Caenorhabditis elegans: one gene and its partner. The protein of the gene in region 1 purifies or fractionates together with the protein of each later gene. This does not show direct contact. Each region holds a gene or a part of one and is shown in the gene's direction. Other genes may lie near its edges.

What was found.
Region 2: the proteins of vab-8 (region 1) and unc-33 purify together in Caenorhabditis elegans (affinity purification with western blotting, with the first as the bait; one study listed by BioGRID). This does not show direct contact.

The regions. Positions count from the first base shown.
Region 1 is NC_003283.11:12,211,479-12,216,471, forward strand, and holds the start of vab-8 (Kinesin-like protein vab-8), read left to right. Parts: upstream 1-1,848; 5' UTR 1,849-1,857; coding exon 1,858-1,920; intron 1,921-2,005; coding exon 2,006-2,237; intron 2,238-2,380; coding exon 2,381-2,474; intron 2,475-2,519; coding exon 2,520-2,752; intron 2,753-2,795; coding exon 2,796-3,009; intron 3,010-3,325; exon of another isoform or gene 3,326-3,438; intron 3,439-3,499; exon of another isoform or gene 3,500-3,643; intron 3,644-4,236; coding exon 4,237-4,411; intron 4,412-4,993.
Region 2 is NC_003282.8:3,514,909-3,520,069, forward strand, and holds the start of unc-33 (Protein unc-33), read left to right. Parts: upstream 1-1,977; coding exon 1,978-2,018; intron 2,019-2,069; coding exon 2,070-2,230; intron 2,231-2,284; coding exon 2,285-2,469; intron 2,470-2,531; coding exon 2,532-2,597; intron 2,598-3,166; coding exon 3,167-3,257; intron 3,258-3,366; coding exon 3,367-3,587; intron 3,588-4,547; coding exon 4,548-4,864; intron 4,865-5,161. UniProt on the Caenorhabditis elegans protein: During neurogenesis, plays an essential role in axonal guidance and outgrowth by regulating the polarization of both microtubule and actin cytoskeletons.

The DNA.
Region 1 (4,993 bases):
TAAAGATGAACGGAGACTCCGCCCACTTTTTTCGGTTTTCTTATTTTTAGTGTTGTTGTTGTTTTTGTTGTGTCACTCTTGATATGTGGCTTGTACCTACAGTCTTGTAAGTTATAATCTCAAACTTTGACCTTAAAACTCCAAAAAGTTTCAAAGATTCTACCAGTGACCGGATGTTTGAAAAAAGAAGGAAATGTGCTCAACAGATGTGATCACTTCCTTTGGATTCTCCAGATGACTGAATTTTGTATTTTCTTATGTTTCCATTAGATTTAATTTTTAAAAAATGTATACCTGTTTAGTTTCCCGAACCACGAGAAATAATGCAAAATGATTTTTTCATCTATAAGAGCTCTTGTTTTCCTAGTTTCTGGTCATTTGTTTTAACGGTTTTTTTGCCTGACATGATAGATAAAATTTCATAGTTGTTTATTTGTTTGAAAATATCAATTTTCGCAATGAATAATCTAAAAATTAGTATCTCCTGGAGTATACTTACAGTAATCACTATTTTTCTATGATACCCGTTCCTCACCTGATACATCCAACTGTAGTTTCTGTGTTTTACTCTTTTATTAAATTTTGTTTCAAAAAAATGTGTTGCACTATTTTTCTATTCTTTCCCCTGTTTCACGCCCATCACTCGTCTCAAAAATCTTTTCACTACTTTTCTTCTCAACTCAATTCATTCCTAGGGGAGGTCAAATTACCACTATTCTTTCTTCTCACTTTCAATTTCGATTTGCTTTCTTTTCAGAAAATTACTGATATTTTTGAAAAAAAAATTATGATTATTAGTTTTAGTCTTTTTTAGTTGACAGTTTTTGATAGAATTTTTCATGTTATACATTTCTGTTTTTCGATACCAAAAATGTTTACCTAAACTGTCTAGACTTTTGAATTGGGAAATGTGCAATTCACAGATCGACAATAATTCTTTTATAAATACCAGGCGGTTTGTTCACGTGGTACTTTAATGACTTTTGGAACTTGACCCCGTCCAGGGACATAAAACCAAAACTATATTTAAATATCCAAAAGGCAAGACCTTATAATATTCACTCTACCCATTTGCTTTAATTCAAAAAAAAAAGTTCCCACAATGAATGGGTTTGTACGTATCGTTCATCCCCATCGCCAGGGCGTCAGAGAGTTCTCCATTTTCCGATGCAGTGTTGACTCACTTTTTGGCGGGAAATGGTCTTCTTTTCAAATGTTCCCTTTTTGGTACTTTTTGGTGGAAAACTGATGATATCATTTACTCTATTGTCAGACTGTTTCGTAGAATTTTTATGTTTTTTTTGGTTTCCGGTGGTTTTAAAGAATGTCAATTGCACATACGAAGTAACATTTCAACGAGCTGAAAATTCTTCGCGAAAGAGTAAATTTACTACTTCTTTCAATTTTTCTTTCACTTGTATATCTCATCTTATTGAGTAATTATTTGGAGCGTTGTACTACAGTTTAAGCAGAAAAGAGAAGATTTATAGAGCTTTATCATAATTTTTTGTGTAATCAGTTGTGGTCTGTTTCACAATTTTCAAAAAGTTGGCTCCGTGCCAGCAACACTTTCCGTTTTCCCACATTCCACCTCATTTTACTCAATAGGTGTTCGTCGGTAACATGAAAAGACTCATCTACCTCTTTTGATTATTTATGCAGACACGCTTATATGGGCACACACATACACACTTTGATGATAACGGTTTGTCCGTCTTTTATCAGGACTGACCCTTTCCTCCCTCGCAAATTTTTCCCGCGACATTCTTTTTGCTTTTTCTTTGGTTTTTTCTTTGATTTCCGTTGCCCGTTCCTTCCCGAATTGCGGATTAGAATGAATATTTTCAGACCTTATGAATGGAGGCATGCAGCAGTAAGACCTCGCTGCTTCTTCATTCGCCGTTGCGAACGATTCCGAAAGTAAGCTTTTTGTTGAATTATTTGTTTGCTAATTTTTTGGCAAACATTTCTAGTATTCACAGATTGAGATTAACACATTTTTCAGCTTCGACTATGTGCCAGTATAAGCAGTGAAGATGTTGCACATGGTCGGTGCAGTCTCACTGATCAACACTTGCAAATCGAAGGAAAGAACTATTCGAAAACGACATTTGATCATATCTTTAGAACAGATGCTACACAGGATGATATGTATACGGCATTTCTATCGGATACAATAAATTCAGTATTCGCTGGAAATGATGCAACAGTTTTAGCAATGGGAGCTAAAACTAATGGTGAGTAATTATTTTGGAGAGTAACGTTTTCAAATTTGAAGAACTTATACAATTTTCAATTTTTCCTCCATTTCTAATGGAGATACTATTTACGATTACATTAAGAATGTTTTTGAAACTCATCGAATACTAGAAATGTTCAGGAAAAGACGAACGTCTCTACGGGAACAGCGTTTCAAGAAACGGGTTGGTTCAAATGGCCATCACTCAATTAATGAATGCCCTTGATGATAACAAGTAGGTTTCAATGTTCTATATTTCCATTAAATTTCCTATTTCCAGAGATTCGGAAGAACGAATACAAGTTCGAATGTCTGCAATTATGGTGTCACAAAATGAATCTTCAATAGTCGATTTGTTAAGTCCATTCAATCCAGATCCACGTCACCGAGTGGTTAAAATAGTGGATGATGCTCGAACAGGAGTATTTATCGATAATGAGAGTGAAATTCGTGTCGAGACCATTGATCAGGCATTATTTTATTTGAATACTGCAGTGGATCATCGAATGATTCGTGAGTTGAAACATGATCTAAATGTCTTATACACAAGTTTCAGAAGACGAGCATACCCATCGAACAAGCCACGTGTTCATATCACTAAGCTTGTATTCGTATAAAATGGGTGACAAAATGCAAGGAGGACGTCGTCGACTTTGTTTCTTGGATATGGGAATTGGTGAGAGAAATTCAACAAATGGAGGAATGACAATGCCAGCATTAGGGAGTATTCTTTTGGCAATGGTTCAAAGAAATAAACATATTCCATCAAGGTGAGTATTTTGAAGAAATATTTTTTTAAAAAATTGGTCTGCAAATCAAAAGTGTACCTGGAGAAATCTGGAAATACAGCGTTCATAAAACCCTGAATATTCAATTAAAGTAGGAGGACTCGTGAGAATTTTGTTACAATCTACTCACTTTTATTATTTATTACCAAAAAACACAGTTTTGGTGAATTTTAATTTTTCGAGAAAAGTTTAGAGCAATGTGAGAAACAATTGATTTAAAAATCCTAGAAGTTAATCACCAGTCACTGTTTCATCCCCATATTTAAATGGAGCGTTCTAATTTGGCGTCACGTCTGCCTTGTAGGCACTCAAGTAGTCAATTTTTACTAGCTTCTAGTATAAGGAAGATCCATCAGAGTTTCACACATATTCTGCGGTCCTCCCCCAATTTTGTTCATTATGCCCTCTACTTCATCTCAATCAACCTTCATTTACCGGCGGAAAGATTAAGAGAAGATTGTCTAGTCACCCATTTATTTATTACCACTTTTTATTGAACCAGTTGTCGATGGATCGTTATTTGCGCGCGCGGAAGAAGTAGGAGGTGTGTAGGAGAGGGGCGCCGCGCTCTTCCAACATGGATCCTTCAGGACACATCAAAGAGAAGAGCCGCCCACGAGCCACACGAGGGATTAGATGAATTGGTGTCTTTTTTTATTTCACTGTTGAGAGATGGTACCTCCTGATGTTTTTGGTAGAGACAGGAAGAGGCGGTGAAGTGATGACATTTTCAATGAAAAAAAGAGAAAGCAGGGGAAGGGGAATGATGAATATAAAAATCGGGGGATTGTAAGAGTAATGAGAACAGGAAGGTGGACAATGAAAAAAAAAAACATCTCAATTGTTTTATTGCAAGTAGTTGTAATATTTCAACTCGAAAAGTTTAAATATTCAAAATTTGTCCAACTTTTTGCATAAGAAATGACCAATTAATCAATCCATATGCTTTTGTCGGTGAATCTTGCGTTTCCGGTCACCGCCTTCAAAAGTTGCTTGGGCATGCTCCCTTGGGAACGAAATGAATTTTATTTTTCTTTTGACTATCCTCCTTTTCCTTCTTTTTGAATTCTTCGTACCGAGAGAATAAATAACAAATTGCTGCCGCTTCTGCAGAAATAGAGCAGTGGTTCTTAGGGAATTGAAAGTTTGACAAGTGTTAGAATGTGTCAAAGTAGAAGATGTTAAAATGAAATTTTTCCTTTTTTACAGGGACTCGTCAGTGTGTCAACTCATCCGATGTGCATTGAGTACGTCAAGATTCACGACGTTCGTTTTTTCATTTGGTGCCAAGAGTGACGATAACGAGAACATTGCACATTTGGCTTGTAAAATCGCAAGGACTCGAGCAAAGAGTATGGTTGGACATGGAAGGAAGTCATCAGGGGTGAGTTTGAAAACATCAGTTCAGATAATTTATTACTGCTCGCATAATAAAGGTTTTTGAAAACTATTTTAAATTTAAGAATGGCAATATTTCAAAAATACAACAATTCTGAGAATTTATCCAAAAGCTTGACATTTGACAACTGTTTGCCAACTTACCGAAAATTTCACTGCAAATTTCAAAAGTATACAAGTTTTTGGAACATTGTATTCTTTCGTATTTTGAAGAAAATATTCCTACTACTAGTTAAATATTCTTACAATATTCCTACATTTTATTTTCTCTCACGGCACTCTCAAAAAATTCCTAGCGCTCAGTATTTGATCTGGTTGAATTTGGGGAAGTACTGTGCAAAGATATTTTTTTAATAGAAAACTACGATTTTGTAGGCTACTTTTTATCATTCTTTGACCTTTTTCCTCGGTCTCACTTTACGGTAAAATCCGGTCCACCTCTAGCATAACCTAAATATTAATATCGCTGCCGCAAACATAATACCATAATCGAAATTTGATCCTCTTTGTATGAATTCTTGTATATTGTATATTTACAAAGAAAAAACAACCGGCACTTCTTCCGCAT
Region 2 (5,161 bases), on another chromosome or scaffold:
AAATTTCGGCAAAAATTAGCAAGAAGCCAGCAAGAAGATTTTTTCGATTTTTCGTGATACATTAGCGAAAAAAAAACAGAATTTCGACGAAGCCTAGCAAGAAATCTTTGTAAATTAGAAGGAAAAACAGGATTTTGTGCTGATTTTTAGTGAAAATCAGCCAAAAATAGCAAAGAATGGCGGAAGTACTACTGAAAATCAGAAATTTCTCGATTTTTTTTAATCCGCGAAATCCCGAATTTCGACAAAATCTAGTAAAAAATCCCCTAGAAAAAGCAATGAAAATCTCAGTTTTTTGCTGATTTTCTCAAAAAAAATCAACAAAGAACGGAGTATGAGTAATGGAGCATCGGTGGAAAAATCGAAGCCTCTAGAATTTTCTAGATTTTCGTGAAAAATCAGCTAAAAACTCAAATTTCGGGACAAATTCACCAAAAATAGCAGAAAATGGCGGAAGCACTACTACTGTACATAAGGATTTTCTAAATTTTTCATGAAAAATCCGCGAAATCCGGAATTTCGATGAATATTAGTGCAAAATCTCCGAGAAAAAAGCAATGAGAATCTCAATTTTTTGCTGATTTTTCTCAAAAAATCAGCAGAAAAAACGGAGACTGTCATCTTATGATTATTTCCTTTCTTGATGAATCATTGTTTGAAATACCGACACACCACCCGGTGTGTGTTGCGAAATAAACAAATTATTGTGTTCTTTTTCAATATAAACACAGCAATACCAGTTGACCGCGGGCGGTTTTAAACTAAAAAAATCCAATCGGAAAAAGATGCGGGAAATTCGAAAAATTCAGAGCTCCAAGCGATCCCCGATGGATGCTTGTAAATCGATAAATCGGGCGGAAACCTCTCCGGCGGACACATTGTAAGCGAGAGACGAGAGAGCGTCAGAGAAACCAATAGTGACCCCCCTCTGCGTCTCTGACATGGTATTCGTGGAGAGAGAATGAGTCAGAGAGAGAGCCGGAGACGGAGAGAAACACAGAGAACACTCCCCGGAGGCTTTCCGCCGCCGCTTTCGGGGCCATCTCACATCGATTTCGTGCCTTTTTGTGGGGATGGGACAACTTTTCTTTGTTTCTTGATGAGCTTTTTTGGATTGTTTAATTTTCTTCAGAGAGTTGCAAGAAATTTCATCTCTAAAAAATCAGATTTTTTCCTTTTTTCGGAAATTTCAGAATTTTATTTTTAGGTTTTTTATTTAAAGAAAAGTTAGGATTTTTCTTCAAAAATTTCTGAATTTTTTCTTTTTTTTGTCAATTTTCTCTAGAAAGCAGCCAGAAAATTGATCTCAATTTTGGAAATTCACTGGAAAAAATTCGTGAAAATTTTAGAAATTTCTACAGCTTTCTTATTTTTTAAATACAAACAATTTTCTCTGTTTTTTGATGTGAAATTTAGTTTTTTTTCAATTTTGGAGCATTTTTTGGGTTTTTGAAGATTTTTTTCTTTCGATTTGCAAAAAAATCGATTTTCTAAGAAAAAAAACATTAGAAAAACTAAAACATTATTTTTTGAAAATACAATATTTTTGTTGTATTTTTAGATTTTTTCCTGCAGGAATAAGATTTTTAGTCTCGTGAGAGAATTCACACTAAAAATTGCTAAATTTACATAAAATATGTGTAAAAAGCCATTTTTTCCGTAGAAAAATTTCAAAATTTATGAATTTTTCTTTAAAATTTGATTAAACCCCTGAAAAACCACTGGAAATTTTGTTTTTTCCCCTCGAAAGTTCCCCCAAAGTCACATTTTGCAAATTTCTAAAGAAGATTTACCACCGCAATTACCATAGTTAATCCGAAAATTGAAATTTTCCCGTCTTTTTTCCTCCAATCTTCATTTTTACCTCTTTTTAACCTAAAAATAATTGAAAAAACCCAATTTTTCGTTACAGAAAGCGCGCAAAATACACATTTATCACTAGAGGAGGGCCAAATAGTTGGCGGACATCACTGGAAAATGTTCCCGTTTTTAGCACCAATTCGATCAGCAAATCATGTGTAAGTTTTGCGTTTTCCGTGGTTTTTTTTTCCAATTAAATCCAATTTTAGAGAGCAACAAGGCACAAAGTACTACGTAGAAATCACATTTCTAGCAGATTCTCCATATTCTAGAGCTCCATCGAGCACTGGCACCGAGAAATCTGTAATTCCAACGCTCAGGAATCTGGATGACCTGGAGACTGTTTCTAATAAAAGTAGGAGTAGTGAAGGTTAGATTAGTCACGTTTTCCCGTAATTTTAAGCGAAGTTTTTGCCCAATTTAGGAGTGAATAAGCTAGGGAGCCGTCCGAACAGCCGAAGCTCGGCAATTGTTAAAAAGACGAGTGTGTCCTCACTGCCAACGTCGGCCCGATCCGAAGGAAAATCCTCTCCGATTCCGGTTAAAGATGCGATTCCGGCTCCAGCGCGGCACAAGAACAAGGGTCTCGAGATGTCGTCGGCAATGATGGTGGGTTTCCCGTTTAAAAAATCAAAATTCTAGCAAACTTGGTGAAAAATCGAATTTTCTAGGAGCTATTTGGTGGCGGAGGCAGCACGTCACCAGCGCCATCAAAACGAGAAAACCCAGCCGACGCGGTGAGTTTAAAAATTTTTCTAACTTCTAATGTCGCAGGATACGAAAAGTCGCAATGTTCAGGGCAAAACCACGTTGATTTACGAAAAATTTGATAAAAACTTGTGTTTACAGTAAAAAATTCTAGAATAAATCGAAAACATCCCGGAAAGAAAGAAGAAAAAATGAAAAAATAAAATAAAATAGAAAAATAAATTCAAACGTGTCCTACAGTAATCTTTGAAGGCGCATCACAATTTATATAGTCCAGGTTTCGCCACGAAAATTGTTTTTCTTTAGTTTTTAGGATTTTTGCCATTATTTCTAATGTTTTCTTGACTTTATATGTTAAAATAATTTTTATATTCCAATTTTCATTAATTTTTTATGTCAAATATACCAAAAACCAGGCAAAACTCTCTTAAACCTTCATTATCAACTACCGTAACTTTAAAGGTACACATCACTTTGCGAAACGTGGGTCTCGACGAGTTTTGTTTTTTTTTAGTTATTTTTTTGAAATTTAAAAGCCCAATTTTTGTAATTTCTAACCGATTTTCCTGCAATTTTCTTCAATTTTTTTGATTTTCAGCCATCCGATCGTGTTGTAAGCAATGCTAAACTCTCTCAGCCTGGCCCAGAATGGTTTGAAGGGTTCGAACAGATGGATATGACGGATATTGGTGAGAAAATCAGATTTTTCGAGAGAATTTGTGGTTTATAAGCCACAAATCTGTGTTTAAAACCATTAAAAATGTAGAAAATAAGTATTTATTGCAGAATTTTTTACAGAACTACCCCCCGACCCGAACTGCCCGGCGGAAAAGGTGTTGCGCGGAGAAAAATCGACGCCAGACTTCGATTCGGATTGGCAAGAAGCGAAAGAAGACGTTTTAGATCCTCAAAGCTACCCGAAAAGCTTCAACCCCGCCGAATCGCTTCCCGGTCCAGATATTGGCGCCGGCGTTGACGATGAGGAAGAGCCTGAGGCTGAAGCTCAAGAAATGGAAGAGGTTCGTGATTTATTCACGAGTTTTCCCATTTTTCTGTGTCCTTTCCATCAATTTTTGATATAGTTTAGCAAGTTTTTCGCGGCGTTTTGTTTGTTTGTGACGGAGGGAGAGAGAATTGTTTGAACAGATGTCACCTGGAGAACAATTAAAAAATTAATGTTCACTGTAATTGTTTGAAAAATCGCGAAATTTTGAGCAGAAAAAAATAGAAAAATGGTGAGAAATTCAGAAATTTCAGTGACAATTATAGGTTAAATGAATTTTCAGATTTTTTAAAAGAAAACCCCGATTTCAGGCAATTTGTTCCTAAAATAGAAATTAAAATCTAGTTTTTTTCCACATTATTGAGCAATTTTTGCTCCAACTGCCAATTATATTGCACTTTTGTTAATTTTCCAAGCGATTTTTAGTTAATTTTTTTCTCTAAAAAGCTCTAAATTTCCTAAAGCTGTCAATTTTTTTGCAAAAAGTGTAATTTTCCACTTTTCGTGGCAATTTTCAATAATTTGGCTCTAAAATAACGTTTTTAACACAAGAAAAGTCAAATTTTTCACAATTTTGAAAATTAGCTCTAGAAGTACAGTATTTTGCAGCAAAAAGCTCTTTTAATACAAATTATAAATTTCAGGCGATTTTAGCCTGAAAAATCTCCAAAAAAGCTCAAAATTTACTATAGAACTGGTAATTTTTATTGCAAAAAGCTTATTTTTACAACTTTAAGAGTGATTTTTTTCAACCAATTTCCCCAATTTTTTCAGCCAATTTTCTCTCTAAAAGCCCTAAAAATAGCAATTTTCAGGCAATTTTAGCTTGAAAATGGCAAAATTTAAACATAAAAGTGTTAATTTTCTATGTTTTTACCCAATTTTTACTCTAAAAAGCTTTAAATTCCTATAAAATTGTCAATTTTATTGCAAAAAGCTTCTCTTTTCTTCATCCTTTATCTCTTACTTTCTCCAGCCTCAATACGAATCGAAAGTGGACGAAAAAGACGACGACGACAATGGCTCTTCTTCCTCCAAAAAGGGTCATCCTTCCGAAGACGGAGATAGTACAAGAAATGGAGAGACGCCGACAGACCGACGAAATAGTGGGGCGATTGAAGAGACGGCAGACGGTGAGAGCTCTGCGCAGTCGGCTGCTGAGAAGAAGAATAGTGGAGACGACGGCAACGGAGGCGGCGGTGAAATGTCGATTTTGCTCGTCAAAAATGCTCAAATTGTCAATGACGATGCGATTTTTGTAGCTGATATTCTGATTGAAGATGGAATTATTCAGTAAGTCGGATTTTTGAGTTGAAAATTGAATTTTTCGGTCAAAAATTGACCTCTTTAATCGGAATTTTGAGCAATTTTAGTCCAGATATTGTGAATTTTCGTAAGATTTTTGTGATTTTCAGCTAAAATTTGTGAATTTTTATGAAGTTTTTTTGCATTTTTAGCCCAGAAACTGAATTTACCGCGAATTTTAAAATTTTCATTTACAAATTGTGAATTTTCATGAGATTTTTGTGATTTTAAGAAACAAAAAAGCGAATTTCAAGAATTTTGAGCTCAAAATTGAATTTTTCGGTA